Styela clava: one gene and its partner. The main gene of each other region encodes a partner of the protein of the gene in region 2 in a complex. Links are inferred from orthologs where the notes say so. Each region holds a gene or a part of one and is shown on either strand. Other genes may lie near its edges.

The links. The genes of interacting proteins can lie anywhere in the genome.
Region 1: ribosome quality control complex subunit NEMF-like (region 2) and ribosome quality control complex subunit TCF25-like share a complex: the UniProt entries of both Homo sapiens proteins name them as parts of the ribosome quality control complex. The link is inferred for Styela clava from reciprocal best matches to the Homo sapiens genes NEMF and TCF25.

Annotation. Positions count from the first base shown.
Region 1 is NC_135262.1:6,384,693-6,391,930, reverse strand, and holds the start of ribosome quality control complex subunit TCF25-like, read left to right. Parts: upstream 1-3,924; 5' UTR 3,925-3,978; coding exon 3,979-4,128; intron 4,129-4,873; coding exon 4,874-5,026; intron 5,027-5,711; coding exon 5,712-5,848; intron 5,849-6,057; coding exon 6,058-6,243; intron 6,244-6,703; coding exon 6,704-6,800; intron 6,801-7,238. UniProt on the Homo sapiens protein: Component of the ribosome quality control complex (RQC), a ribosome-associated complex that mediates ubiquitination and extraction of incompletely synthesized nascent chains for proteasomal degradation.
Region 2 is NC_135256.1:10,605,455-10,613,754, reverse strand, and holds the start of ribosome quality control complex subunit NEMF-like, read left to right. Parts: upstream 1-5,300; 5' UTR 5,301-5,350; coding exon 5,351-8,300. UniProt on the Homo sapiens protein: Key component of the ribosome quality control complex (RQC), a ribosome-associated complex that mediates the extraction of incompletely synthesized nascent chains from stalled ribosomes as well as their ubiquitin-mediated proteasomal degradation.

The DNA.
Region 1 (7,238 bases), on a different chromosome or scaffold from region 2:
CTTATCGCCGATGATTGCATAATTACACATTTTACAGATAAACAACGATTAATAACGGGATATCATATTAATTTCCCGAATATCCCCACACCCAACAGCGCCCACAATAGTGCCAGATGAACGAATTCCATTCGGGCATAATCACACCTGCTTCAAAACAACTCAGCATGTATATATAATTTTTCGGGTTAATTATGCTCGTCGTGGTATGCCAGGCATGACGTTGTTAATTAAGTAAAATTCTGATCCGCCCGTTTCTCGTCAGTAGCGGTGGCGCAGGGGAAGCGTGGAGACATGGTTGAACATGAGGCCAGGTATGAGTGTGGGTTCGAACCCCACAAGGTAGACCTAGTTGTAGGAAAGGACCCCACAAGGTAGACCTAGTTGTAGGAAAGAGTCAGCAAAAAAGCCAGGTTGGTCCAGGGAAGAAAGGGAGTCGGCGGACAGGAGATCGAGCGAGAGCAAAAAAGGCCAGGTGGAAGGCAGTCAAAAGAAGGAACAGACAAGAGGGCAAAAGAAAGGTGTCCAAGGAGGAAAGGCCGCAAGGTAGAAGAACCGAGCTGTAGGGAAGGGTCAGCAGAAAAGCCAGGTGGGCCGACACCGAAGAGCGATGTGGGAAGGCAGCTGAAAGACAAGAAACATGGCCGAGGAGGAACAGCCGACGGGCAGGAGAGAGGAAGACACACAGACGGAGGGGCAAAAAAGGTCACCGTCCAAGAAAAAGATCCGGCGTACAGAGAGGAGAGCAAGAATCAGACGGAATTATCAAAAAAGAGAGAAAGTCCAGCGGGACAGCCAAAAGCAGAAATTTCAGGGGAAGGAATTTAAAAAAAAAGTGCGAGAAAGCGAAACTTCGTGGAGTGAAAGAATAATAAGCAAACAACAAGCATGGCCGACGAGGAACGGCCGAGGAAAGGAGAGAGAGAGACACAGACGGAAGAAGATCGATCGATCCGTCGTAAAAGGGGAGGGAGCATGGCCGACGAGGAACGGCCGAGGAAAGGAGAGAGAGAGACACAGACGGAAGAAGATCGATCCGTCGTAAAAGGGGAGCAAGAAAGAATCAGACAGATTATCAAAAAAGATGGAGAGAAATCTAGCGGACAACCAAGAGAGAGAGAAATACAGCGGACAGCCAAGAGGAGAAATTTCAGGATTCAGAATAATGGGCAGACAAAACAAGGAAGGAAGAGGAGGCGGAGAAGCAGAAATTAAAAAGAAGAGCGATAAAGCGAAAAAAATGGAAATTATGGTGGCATCTAGACAAGAAAGTAGATGAAAAAATGAGTTCGTTCTGTGGTGAGGAGCAAGAAGAAAAATCTTCAGTCAGTCAGTCAGTCCCCTTATAAAAAAAAGTGGAGGAGAGGAAGTGTTGAAGAGGAAGAAGAAACTGGTGGAGAGATAAAAAAATAAGAATGCAGCAAGGAAGAAATTTGTAAAAAAAGTCTCCCTTATAAAAAAAAGTGGAGGAGAGGAAGTGTTGAAGAGGAAGAAGAAACTGGTGGAGAGATAAAAAAATAAGAATGCAGCAAGGAAGAAATTTGTAAAAAAAGTCTCACGCATCGCCGCCACAGCATATAGAGCAAGCAAGTAAAAGAAGCCAGCCAATCAGAGCAACAACGAACACAAAATAGAAGAAATAGGGCGCGAGTCAAGTAAAAAAATGGTGACTTTCAATGATCTTTACTGTTGCATAAAATAAATATTCAAATACGGGCATATTTTAGAAGTGGACATAGGGTGGACATAACGATCGTTTCAATATTATGTTGTTTTTATTAATTGTCTCCACCATTTTTAAAAAAATCGTGTTTCTCTTTGAATACGATCGTTTCAATATTATGTTGTTTTTATTAATTGTCTCCATCATTTTTAAAAAAATCGTTTTTCTCTTTGAATACTGGACCAATTATTGCTTTGAAATTTTCAGTGGTCAAAGATAAAAATTTTGGTGATCCCGAAGTATGCGAACCAAGATGGCGGACATCGGAACGTAACATGGGTAACAGGTTAGGGTTAGGCGATAATTTTTTTCCAATTTTCCTTCTTTTAGTCCTATTATCAGTTCGAAGACTAGCCAAGAGCCTCCCGTAGTATTTATAGCTAAAATTATGGCCTAACCCTAACCTAGTACACGTATTACATTCCGATGTCCGCCATCTTGGTTCGCATACTTTGGGAGCCCCAAAATTTTCTCCAGTAGGTCAATGACATTAATGTCATTGAGTAGGCTAATACTTTTTTTCGCTATGACGTCATCAAAATTACCGCCATTGGGTGCTACGTGTCCATATATTTGAGCATAACTCTCTTGTTAATTTAATTGGGATCATTTTAACCTGCGGTTGTGTTGATTAAATCAAAGAATTACTTCTCAAAAATACCATGACAATCCGTTGACATTAAAATGCGTGGTAAAGTAGCTGATTATATTTTGTTTTAATTTCTATTTTTCTGAATTCGACAAATCTGTGCTGTTCGTGCAACCCTTACGCCGCTCCAGTAATGTACGTAACAATGTGGATTGTGGAGGTAGTAAAGAAAAGTATTCGAAGGGAAACTGCCCAGGTATGTGTACTACGGTAGAACCCGAATTTTTGCGATTTGCAATGTCTTAAAAAGCGTTTTTAATCGGTCGTAACCATCATAAAACACCACTTTTGGTGTTCTCAGTTTTCAGGTTTTATTTTAGTATTTTGTATTGACGCTTTTGAATTTAGATAATTTGGGTTGCCACCATTGGCACCTACCGTACCAGGAAAAAATTTATTCCTCGTTTTTCAAACTTGCGAGAAACACCACTTAGGTAGGTATCTATCGAAGCGACCTGTCGCGTCAAGTGTTACCAAATTTTCGATTAGTAAATTCTGAAATTGCTATTCTAATAGTTTAATGTTAATTTACTAAATGCCCAGCCCTACTCAGTAACCAGTAGTTATTGACTCGGGTAATGTTATGCGAATAAACTTGCTTCCTGCAATTTAGGGTTCGTTCCGATAATTCAGTACAGCACACTATCCAAATTCCAAGAACTTCCTCCATTTGGCTCAATGAAACAAACACTCTATGTGTCTTACAAACAAGGGGCGTCTGGGACCTTGACAGATGCTTCATATCACGCCATGCTTGTCTCAACAATAATCTAAATGAATCGCGGCCGTGACATGACCAAAATTGCGTTTTTTTGCTAAAAACTTTCGAATGCTACAGTAAAAGATTTTTTCCTTCGGTAAATCTGATTATTTTTTCCAAGGAATTCAATGATGACCTTACTAGATTGCGCTTTTTTGTAGTATTTTTTGCAACTTCATTATACTGTAATATTACCGATATTGAAGGACAGCAATGACCAGACGTCTCCCGAAGGAGAGGTGTCTGATCATCTGTAAAATGGGTTTCTCTGAAACGGGACAATGTCACCCGATTTTATAGTGTGCCGTACTGTAATTAAAAAAAATTATATTTACCACTGTCCCCCCAAGTTTGCCGATTTATTTATATAAACATTGCATGGAAGTATATGAAATGGCATTTACAAGACATATAAAGGTCCGTTCTGGTAGGTTTATGTAGATTCTCCACCCCGTTCTGGTAATTAAAGGAACCGCACTGGTAGACTATACCGGTACCTGAAGCCTATACAAAAGTCAGTAGGTGCCGTATGTCTGTACGAGACAGGTGACAGCACTGCAATAGCATATTGTAAGTTATAAATATACTTTGAACTGACTTTGTTCGCAAGCTGTGAATATACAGATATATTTCAATATCTGAATCAACTGACGGTTATGTCAGTACTGCGGTATTTCTACATTTTGAAGAAAGCTTGATCACTCCTGTGACAGTATACTTCTGTACTTACTACTGTACTACACGGTATAGTTACACTCTTAATTAGTGTGGTTAATTCAATGAGGCTTTCTTTATCTAGAGAATTAGACTACGGTATAGTAAAATTATTTTGTGTAAGCCTGGATTATGTCGACAAGAGTTCTCAGGAAACTTCATGGACGTGATGATGAGTTGAAAAATTTAGCAGCGTTAGCCGCTGTAGAAAGTTCTGAAGAAGAAGATTCTTCTGAGCAAACTGAAAAACCATCTCAAGAAAGAAGAAACCTATTTGACTTGGTATTTAGAATTTTTACTACTAAAGTACGGCACAGTTCTCCAATTCCAAGAATAGCCCCTGCATTGAAAGTCATGAAATATAACAGTGAGTGCAAGGTCCTCCACATCGCCACAAATTAACTGCACAATAAACTAAAAAGGAATTTCAATCTTAAAACATCACCTTTAGATTTTTTAATAAAAATTAACCCGCTGTACTGAAGGGAAAAATATTTCACCATGGCATTTGAAACTTTTTACCAAAAAAGTGCAATTTTGGTCATGTGACGGCCGACACCTGTTGCGATTGATTTAAAGCCGGCACATTTGCCATCATGCCAGATGTCCTCATTTCAGAGACGAATAGAGTGTTTGTTTTATTGAACCTAATGTTGGGACACCTCAGGATCTGAGAACTGAAATAAAAACAGAAACAGAAATAAAAATTGATTTTGATGTGGCTACTGTTTAATTAATGTGCATATTTTGCCCAGAAGCACATAAAGTTTGCAGACCACTGATTTAGAGCTTTTACCAGCTCCAGTCATTTTTTTGATTCCAGTCATTTTCTCATAGACTGAAGGTGACCCTTGATTAACCGGCAACCGCCAGTGAGACTTAACTCTGTTATCGACTCGACTTGATAACCTGTGACTTGAATTGACTCTCGACTTAGATTTAGAGACAACTACCCTACCAGCACTGGGTTACACTCAAAGTAAATTGTTTATATCAATGGATTTCTAAAGTATTAATATAAATACAGTTAAACGATGAAAATGAAGATGTAGAATCAGATGAATCAACGAATATTGACAAAGATGAAAATGTGAATGAGAATATAGAAAAACCAACTCCAATACAAACTGGTGCTAGGAAGAAAACAAAGAAGAAGAAAAAGAATGTTGCAAAAAAGAATGTATGTGGTACCAAAATATTAATTCAGACTTGAAGGTTCTCAATTATATGTCCATTATTGTTCCGTGGCACCAAATTTTTATTTACAGTATGGTTTTAAGCTAACTAGATATTGAGGTTCTGTCAAAATCCTTGACGTTAAAACCCCAAATTTTATTCTCAATTAAGGGGAATGTCATAAAAATGCGTATTTACATAATAAGTTAATTTTGCATGAGGGATACCAGTTCTGTCCAATTGATTTTAGCTATGTATTCACAATTTTTGAATAAGTCCCAAAGTAACCTGATTCGCAGGATAAAAAAATAGGCTGTTATGACATATGTCCACTATGGCAGCCTGAGCCGTGGAGTTTGAGAGAATTAACAATCGCATCTTACTCCGGGCGAGACAAAATTCTGACTCAAGCACCGAAGTGCAAGAAAATCAAATTTTGATGATAAACACCCAATAAGCATTATGCAAGACTTCTTCAATAGACTTTTAAGAATACTTGTAGAGTTGTGTAGGAATTTTTAACTTCTTTTATCACCACTTCATGAAATTCGGAATGTTGCTACCGACTTCGTTGAGTTAGAAAATACCGGTACCACTCACTGACAACATGCCAGACTCCCAGAGCTCACTTGCTTGGAAATCTATTATTAATCGAGTATCTGGCTAAAATTACTTTTTGTATTTTTTAGAAAAAAGACGAAGAAGAAGACATTGAAAAAGTTGTCAATGAAATTGCTCAAATGGAAAACAACAAACCAAATAGGGATTTTTCTAACCACAGTGTCCAAGTGAAAAAATATAAATATGTATTGACTGTTGAACACAGGTAATAATAATTGTTTTTCTTACTTTCAAAAAAAATTTTGTTTCAGTTTTAAACACAAATCACTAGAAAACTCCCAACCCAACTCCAGAGCCTGGTCATATCCTTCATTCACCTAATTTGGTTTTAATATTTTTTTAAAGTCATTTTCATTGGTACGTATATATTTTATTTCTTTCATTTTTTTGACGAAGATATAAATTGGATTTCAGGTTTCTTAATCCAGATAACGAACTCAAAAGAATATTTGGTACTCGGACTCTACTGGATGATGCTAACTTCAGGCAAAGAAATCGTGTAAAGACGTTAAAAGGAACTTGGCTGACTTCACCTACTTCAAATTGGCCCAGATTAACCAAATGTGGATTGAGTATGACTTGCCTGGAAAAATCACAGAAGTAAGATTATTGTTAAACAGGGAATTCCAGACTTTCAATAGTGATAAAAGAAGCACAGAAACTTAAAGCATTTAATTCTACTAAGTGTTTTTAGTAACAGTCTATTGATGAAGGCTCGCGTATGTGTCTCGGCAGTGTGGTGCATCATGCTAAGCGTTAGGAATACGTTGACCACTGCACTCCTGATGATTACTCTTCTCGGGTATGCATGCCGAGGAGATAATTATGTGCGAGTGGATTGCTGCACTTCTCGGCGCGTAAGGTCGGTTACAGTTTTCTCCACCATCAAGTCCGACATGGACTGGTATCCGGATGAGGCGCTGTACTTCGCAATATGATTAAGCCGTCTAATTCGCTTTCTCTTCAATTGGAATAATTATGTGAATCCTATCCTTTGTCAAAGTTATTATGTTATGAAAGTGGAGAATTGTCTACTTATATATAATTATTGTATTTACAGATATCAATATTTTACGTTCGAACATAGCAAGGAATATCAAAAAGCGCAGTTTGAATTTTTAGATGCAGTCGACTCATCTGACCACAATCAAATTGCGGTAAGTAACACAATTTTTGTATTCAAAAACAAAATAATGTTAAAAATGTAAGAAATCAATTACTTTTAGCGCATTATAGATTTGCTATCTTTATAAATGTTATTGGCATTGCATTATACTTTCGACACATACACTTCATGATCAACATGTAGCATACCACTGCCAGGGATGGGCCAAAACCGAATAATCTAGTATAAGAATACATTCTGAAATAACCTTTACGAAATTGGAATAACGAATATATTCTGAAATGGGTCTGTTTCACAGGAGAAATTCTTCAAGACTATTGTAAATTCATAGAAATCAGATTTGCTTTTGCCGAATAATTGGGATAAACAGTAGTATTCCCTATTTTAATCTGTCAGAAGTTAATTAGATTTTTGGGACCTCCTGAAGTATGCGCACCAAGATGACGCACAACCTGAACTCAGGTGGTGT
Region 2 (8,300 bases):
TCTGGTTTTCATTGTCATGAACATCATATGAAGGTCTGACGTTCTTTCGATTGAGCACGGGCTAAGCGTTAGGAATACGCTCGCCACCGCACCTCTAATTACTCTGCGTGGGTTCGCAGGTTCGAATCCCAAGCAGGGATGGTTATGTGCGAGAGGATTGCTGGATTCCTCGCCGTCGTTGGGTGGTTCACGTAACCGCTGGTCGGTTACGGCTTCCTCCACCACCAAGTCCATGCTTCCGAAAACAAACAATACAGTAAAACTAATCCCATACCCGACTTGGAATGGTAACCGGACGAGAGGCCGTGGTTCGCCATATGGATAAGCCGTCTTATCGGCTTTCCTCTCCCCCGGGATAAATATGTAAATCCTATCCTATCCACTTAAACACATTCTTCGAAAATGATTCATTTTGTGACAAAATAATATTTCTTGTCAAATGTTGGAAAATAGTCACGAGATTCAGCATGACATAAACCACAATGCTGGCAAACAGAATGAAATTTTGACACACGCTTAAAATGACCAGTAGGCTTTTGAAATTTGTCAATATTTACACGAAATATTTTACTATTCAATGCGAACTTGTTAAATCTACATCCCGGACTATAACGTGTGAATTTTTCATGATGAGATACAGAATAAACTTCTCTCGTTGCAGTTACAGATTCAGTGAGTTCATGTATCACACATACATCAATAGCATTTTCCAATGCAAGATTGGTTTCTTTTAGCAATTGTGTTCGCAGGTTATCATTAGAAACACCAGTCGAAATTCGATCTTTAATCAACTCATCTTTGAGATCACCAAATTCACAAGGCGTGACTTTATCTTTCAAGTCTACAACAAATGATTGAATAGGTTTACCTGGCACCTGTGCTCTTATGTTAAAATGATGTCTTGTTATCCTTGACTTGACTCCTTATTGATTTGGAATTTTAGCACATTTTCTATTCAGGCTTTCTGGACTCGGCACAAGACTCGGCAAGAATGTCACCTTCAACTGCCTCATATGTAAAAGATTCGGGTCTCGTACCAAAGCAAAGTAATTTTTTTTTTTCGATTTTCCATTACAACAAAACAGAGAAGCAATACATGACAAAACAAACAAATACACGGAAAATCGGCAAAATCTAAAAAGATCTATGACGTGCTGATGCACTTACCCCAAACAGCACATTGGGGTAAATTTTGAAAAAATACACGAAGGCAAATCCGGGTGTAAATACTTGGATGTGAAGTTTGAAATACACTTTCTACTTTATATATCGTATACTGGAAAATAACGATTGGTATAGCGTACAACAAACAAACAAGCGGTGCACAACATGTGATAATTATTGTGTGATTCTGAACAAAGCAAAATATAACAAGAGTATTCCATGCACTGGTGTTGAAACTTCAGTAATTATCAAATCCATGTGCTTTGTGAATATGTGCTATTCAACGGTCTTTTTATGAAATCTATTATCAAATATACATTACATCTGTCATTTGACTGTTCATGTTATCATCAGGTTCGATCAGTTTTCCGCTAATGAGCTGAATGTCTTGTACGTTCGTTGAGTGTTTATCCCTTTAATACAGGCCTACCATTATCCGCAATACCTTTCTGTTAATTTTTTTATTCTCTCTACATCTTGTGAATGTTCTGTTTCATACTACAGTCGGACTTGACCATCAATGATTGTCAACACCATTTTTCTTTCCATCCCAGTGTTACATGTTCCCTAACCCTAACCATAATAACTTCTAGAAAGCTTGACGCAAATTTTTTTTTTATATGTTATTCCTAAAGCCCGCCTGACTACGTCATTCAAAAATTACGCCACAGTGTCGTAATAAAGCCCACAAAAATATACGGATGGTCGTCAAAATCGCCAATGAACCGAAGTCGAGCAAGCTACTTCTCGCCGTAACGATCCCGAAATGAGGAAGGATCGCTGGCGTTAGTAATAGATAGATAATGATTTATTTCCGATACAAGTACATAATACAGTAATCATAAGCAAACAACAATAAGCATAAAAATATATACGAAAGGGGACGGGCACAACTTCCAAGATCAACAAGGTCGACCGACCCCTAAGGAGAGATTCTACCAGGACAGGACACTCTAAGCAGGCATCATAATTGCAATAAAGAAAAAAAAATTTTTTTGAGTTTCAAGCCCGCTTTAAGAGGCTTCAGAAATCAATTCCCTAAAAGTACTGGAATAAGAATAAAAATTACAAGGAACAAGAAAAGGGAACATCACATAATTACGCTCTTCATAATGTTTTTTAATAGTAATAAAAAAAAGAGAAAGAATAAAAAGGGCGTAGAGCTAATTATAATTTCCTCAAATTAAGTTTACTTTGTGTTAGACAAGAATCAAATCGTGACAACAATTTCTATGAATGAGTGAAAAATTAAAAATACCATATTTCCCAAGCTATATAGTACATATAAATACTTCAGACTATATATAGCCTAATACCATCTTCAAAAATTTTCACAGAGACATATGAATATCCATCTATAAAAGGGTGAATTCATATCCATTTCGTGAATCTGATAGCATACACGGAGATTTGCACGTTATTGCATCACATTATAATCCGCTAATAAATAAAATTTTAGTTTGCGATCAAATAATTTTGGGGAACAATGTTTCATACTCTGTGGAATACTTTGCCATACATTAATGCCTTCCAGTTTAAGCGATTTCCACATGACTGATGATTGATATCGCGGGGTGAAATACAATTTGTTTGATGTCCTTCTCGTCTCGTACGGATGGATATCTGAAATTTTGACAAAAAAGTCTTGAAAATACTCTGGCAGCAGCAAATTTTCATAACGATACATAAATTTTCCTAATTTACTTATGTAGATTTCTTTCAATTGAAGAAATCCACAATGATGTGTGGAGGCGGGAGTGAGGGGAGGCGGACAACTCGACTACACGAACACGGACGGTTAGTGAGTTCGTTATCGTCGACGCAGCTGCGTCCTATTTCGCCATCGCAATAATACTCTTTCACGCTACCACCAGAATATATGGGAAAATCTGTACCGGTATATTTATACATCGGCACCTATTTCTGTATTTTGATTTGGCTGGTACAGGTACCGTACATGGGTCAGACGGGTCTTTGCAACAGTTCTTGTGGAACCAATGTGTTTCGCTGCAGCTTTCGCAACCGACCCATTCATCCTCAATTTCCGTACTTCCATTTGGATCATTCCATAATCCACAAGCAGAGCAGGTTTCGTCTTGATTATCACTTTTCTGATTTTCTCAGAGCTCCCCGTTGATCGGCTCGGCAGAGGTTCTTGCCCGGTGTGACTTTCGATCCTCGCTTTCGTTTCACTTGACTTGTGCTTGTTGAATGTATAGATTTTAAATAGGTAATGAGAGTAGACGTAGCCTGGTCGTTCATTTCTTGTCTATTGACGTCTGAGGAATGAAATTCGTGAGGTGGTAGTTTAGACAGCACCGCAGTGGGGTTAAACGGGTGGATCCCACAAACTCGGAATCCCGATTTCAGATTTTGGGCAGATGTTTCGGCCGATTTTTGAAAAAGTTTTTTTAATAACAAAGGGAAATGTTCTTTCGGGAAACCACGAATTCGTGATTCTGCTCTCCAGTCGGCTACTATTTTTCGCCACTTTGCTTTGAGTGGGGAAAAAAATGAACAATCGAGAGGCTGGAGTATATGAGTGCTGTTGGGTGGCAGGCACGTAAAATAAACATTGTGTTCATCCGCTAATTCAACAACCTCCACGGTTAAGTGCGATGACAAATTATCACCTACGAGCATTTTGTCGCCGTCTAGTTTGCCACGATACAGGAGAAATACCTCTTTGAACCAGCGGATGAAGGTTCTGGTGTCAAACCATCCGCTGGGTGTTGCGTCGTATATTGTCCCTTCAGGCCCATCGGTTGTCCAATACTCGTAGATGTTTAGCGCGGAATAGACAACCATAGGGGGCAAAAGGCTTCCAGCGGCAGATCCACAAAACATGATAGATATCGAGCTTTTTGAGAAATCTCGAATCATCTCAACTCTATTTGTACCGGTTGGAACTATTGAAAGTTTTCTGCCCGGATCGTCACGAAGATTCGTTTCATCGTAGTTGAAGATGTTCGTTGCAGGTAAACGCGTCGCTATTTCTTTAATCTCGTTGAAGTAATTCACTATTTCCTCTGACCCCACGGCTGCACGTGCTCTTTTAATGTTTGAGGCAACTCTCTTGGATAACCGCTGCCTTTTGCAAAAATTATCCACCCACATCGGGCCAGGTTTGTTGTTGGGGAACGTAGGAGAGCTTATTCCCATTGCATCCAAATAGTTTTTGACAATGTTGTACATGTCCTCCGGTCCAATGGGATATCCCCAACGTGCAATGATTTTGAGGCTATTAGCAAATCGCTTCTCCTCTTCATTGGTTAAACCAGTCGGGCGACCAATACTTTTAGTGTGAGTCTTCTTCATTTTGTCGAATAATGTCGACCTTTTCACGGCATTGCGTTTAGCTGCTTTCGCATACGACATCCCTGCTCTAACATCAGCCATAGCCTTTTGCAAGTCCTCGCTATTGCTTATCGGTATATTTGGCCTGGCCCAACAATTTTTGCATATGCATATGTAATTTCTAACCTCCACATGACTGCGTCATCCGGAAATTACATCACTGTGTCATAGAGCTTGCTAAAGTATAGTTACGATCGTCCGAAATGGCATCTGTGCAGCGATCTCTCTTTTATCGGTACTGGTATCGTTTCGATGACAAGAAATAGCTTGCTCGACTTTGGATGATTGTCTGTGCAACCATTCGTATACTTTGAAGGGCCGTATTACGTCATTGCGACTTCGCAGTGATGTAATTTCCGGATGACGTAGTCATCTGAGGGTTAGAAATTACATATGCAAAAATTGTTGAGCCAGGCCAACTATAAGTACTTGCGGCGCGTACTTCAGGAGACCCCAAAATTGAGCTAGGCTAACTAGAAGTACATGTGGTACCGGTACTAAATTATACCAGACCCAGTGTTTACTTCTGTTAGTTCTGTACTTGTAGTCAATTTAAGTATTTTCACATAGAACAGTAGTACTCCATTGGCGATGGGCTGTAGAGGAGTCAACACTTCCTCTCTACTTCGCTAGACTTGAAATATGAATAAAAAATAATATTTAAAATATAAAAATAAAATTTTATTCAGTCTGATCTATTTACTAAATTAGGCATATGTTTTTTTCATATCAGAAAGTACAGAAGTACGGTACATTTGCCTGTATGCTAGCAATATTATATAAATAAGATCATACTGTCATAAGGTGTTGCTGTATTGTAATCATCATCATGAAGACCCGTTTTACGACTCTTGATATATCTGCTGTGTTGACTGAAATCAATGCCAAGTTGGTAGGAATGAGACTGGCAAATGTGTATGATATCAACAACAAAACCTATCTGCTAAAACTGGCAAAGCCTGATTTTAAGGCTATATTGCTAATGGAATCAGGCATACGTCTTCATATTTCTGAATTTGATTGGCCGAAAAATATGATGCCTTCTGGATTTTCAATGAAAATGAGAAAACATCTTAAAGGGAGACGACTGATTTATGCAAAACAACTTGGAGTGGACAGAATAGTTGATATGCAATTTGGTACAGATGATGCAGCTTTTCATATAATTTTAGAATTATACGACAGAGGAAATATAATTCTCACAGACCATCAATATGCTATTTTAAATATTTTACGATTCCGTAAAGATAAAGCAGTATCATCAAATGAGGGGAATGCAGATGAGAATTCAGATGTTCGTATTGCAGTAAATGAAACTTACCCGTGTGATTCTGCAAAACAGCGCAAAAATTTTTCTGAAATCAAGTTGAAATTAGAGGAAGTACTGAAACAAGCTAAGAATGATGATGTTTTGAAAAGGATATTAAATCCTCATTTACCATATGGAACAGCGTGTATTGAACATTGTCTTCTAAAATCAGGATTCCCCATAAATGCTAAATTCGGTAAAGAGTTTAATATTGAGAATGACCTGGAAGGTTTGTTTATTGGAATATATCATGGTGAGGAACTACTTGACACATTAATGAAAGATTGTTCTAATGGATGGATTGTGCAGAAGTCGGAGAAAAAATCTGATGGAACAAACGTATTAACAAACACTGAATTTCATCCGTTTCTATTCGAACAACATAAAACTTCTCCAAACGTTAAATATGAATCTTTCAACAAATCCGTTGATGAGTTTTTTGGGAGTTTAGAATCACAAAAAGCTGATATGAAAATTTTGCAACAGGAGAAATCAGCAAATAAAAAACTTGATAATATCAGGAAAGATCATGAGCAGAGACTCTCAAACCTCGATAAAGAACAAGAAACTGATCTTCATAAAGCACAATTAATTGAAGAAAATTTGACTTTAGTCGATCAAGCTATTCACGTTGTCCGAACTGCTATCGCTAATCAAATTGACTGGGGAGAAATAAGCAGTTTAATTAAAGATGCACAAATAAATGAAGATCCTGTAGCAATGTCAATCATAAAACTCAATTTAAAGAGCAATGAATTTACGATGGCTCTAAATGAAGCGTTAGATAATTCTGAAAGTGAGGAAGCCTCTTCTGACGAAGATATTAAAAAATCTAAAAAGAAAAAGCGAAAACCTGTTAAAGTTGACATTGATATCGGCCTTTCGGCTTACAGTAATGCAAAAAAATATTACAACAAAAAGAGACAGGCTTCATCGAAGCAACAAAAAATCATTGATGCTTCTGGAAAAGCCCTCAAGTCGGCTGAAAAGAAGACAAAGTTGTCTCTAAAAGAAGCTGCTGTTGTTCATAGCATTCAAAAAGCAAGAAAAACTTTTTGGTTTGAAAAATTCTTATGGTTTATATCATCAGAAAATTTTCTTGTGATAGGAGGAAGAGACGCTCAGCAAAATGAAATACTTGTGAAAAGATATCTTACCGGCAACGATTTATATGTTCACGCAGATCTTCATGGGGCTACCAGTTGCATAATTAAAAATCCAACAAGTGCTGATGTGCCTCCAAAAACTCTCAACGAGGCTGGTACAATGGCTATTTGCCACAGTGCTGCGTGGAATGCAAAAGTTGTAACGAGTGCATGGTGGGTACACAGTCACCAGGTATCCAAAACAGCACCAAGCGGAGAATATCTAACAACTGGTAGTTTTCTTATTCGTGGAAAAAAGAATTACCTGCCCCCTTCGTATTTGGTATATGGATTTGGTTTGGTATTTAAAGTGGAGGAAACTTGTATTCACAAACATAAAGATGAAAGAAAAGTCTCTGAGCTTCAATCATTCAATGGTCAAGATATACCTGATTCCACTGCAACTGAATCGATAAGCAGCGAATTGGAAAGAGAACTAACTATAGATTCGGATACAGAGGGTAGTGATTGTGAACCTGAAACAAATAGTTCTGCTGAACCAGCTATTAAAGATGAGACCAAAAGCGACACAGCTGATAATGAGCCACAACTTGGAACTGTTGATGCTGTTATGATGGATAAAAAGCCAACTGGAATACAATTTCCAGATACAAACATTCAAATAAAATACGCAATTGGAACAAATTCAGCTGATGAAGAAGAAAATCCTGATGTTGTATATCTTGGTGATGAAGAACCGGTTCTTGTGAAACAAAACAACCCAACTAGCAAACCTAGAATATCTGCAAAACAAAGAAGAGATGCAAAAAAGAAAAATCAACCGAATTCCTCAGGTGATCTTGCAGAAAATGATGTAATTCCACCGAAAAATAAAGATTCACCAAATCCGGTCTTGGTGAATGAAAATCCTCAACAGCATCCTGCAAAAAGAGGACAAAGAAATAAGATGAAAAAATTGAAAAGCAAGTACAAAGATCAAGATGAGGAAGAAAGATTATTAAAAATGGAATTGTTGCAACAGTCTCAGAGTCAAAAAGCAAGAGATAGAAAAGCCAAAAAGGCCAAGTCAGTGGCCCCTCAACAAAAAGAAACAAAAGTTCAAAAACAGCCACGTCCTAAACCTGCGAAGTCACAAGAAAATGAATATGATTCTGACGAGGAGAGAAACAAAGTATTGGAAAATGAACATTTATCAGAAGAAAGTATCGGAATTTTGAACTCTTTAACTGGTTGCCCTTTTCCTGATGATATTTTAATGTTTGCGCTGCCAGTGTGTGCACCATATAACACTATGCATAATTATAAGTTTAAAGTGAAACTTACTCCCGGTAATACAAAGAAGGGAAAAGGTGCCAAAACTGCCC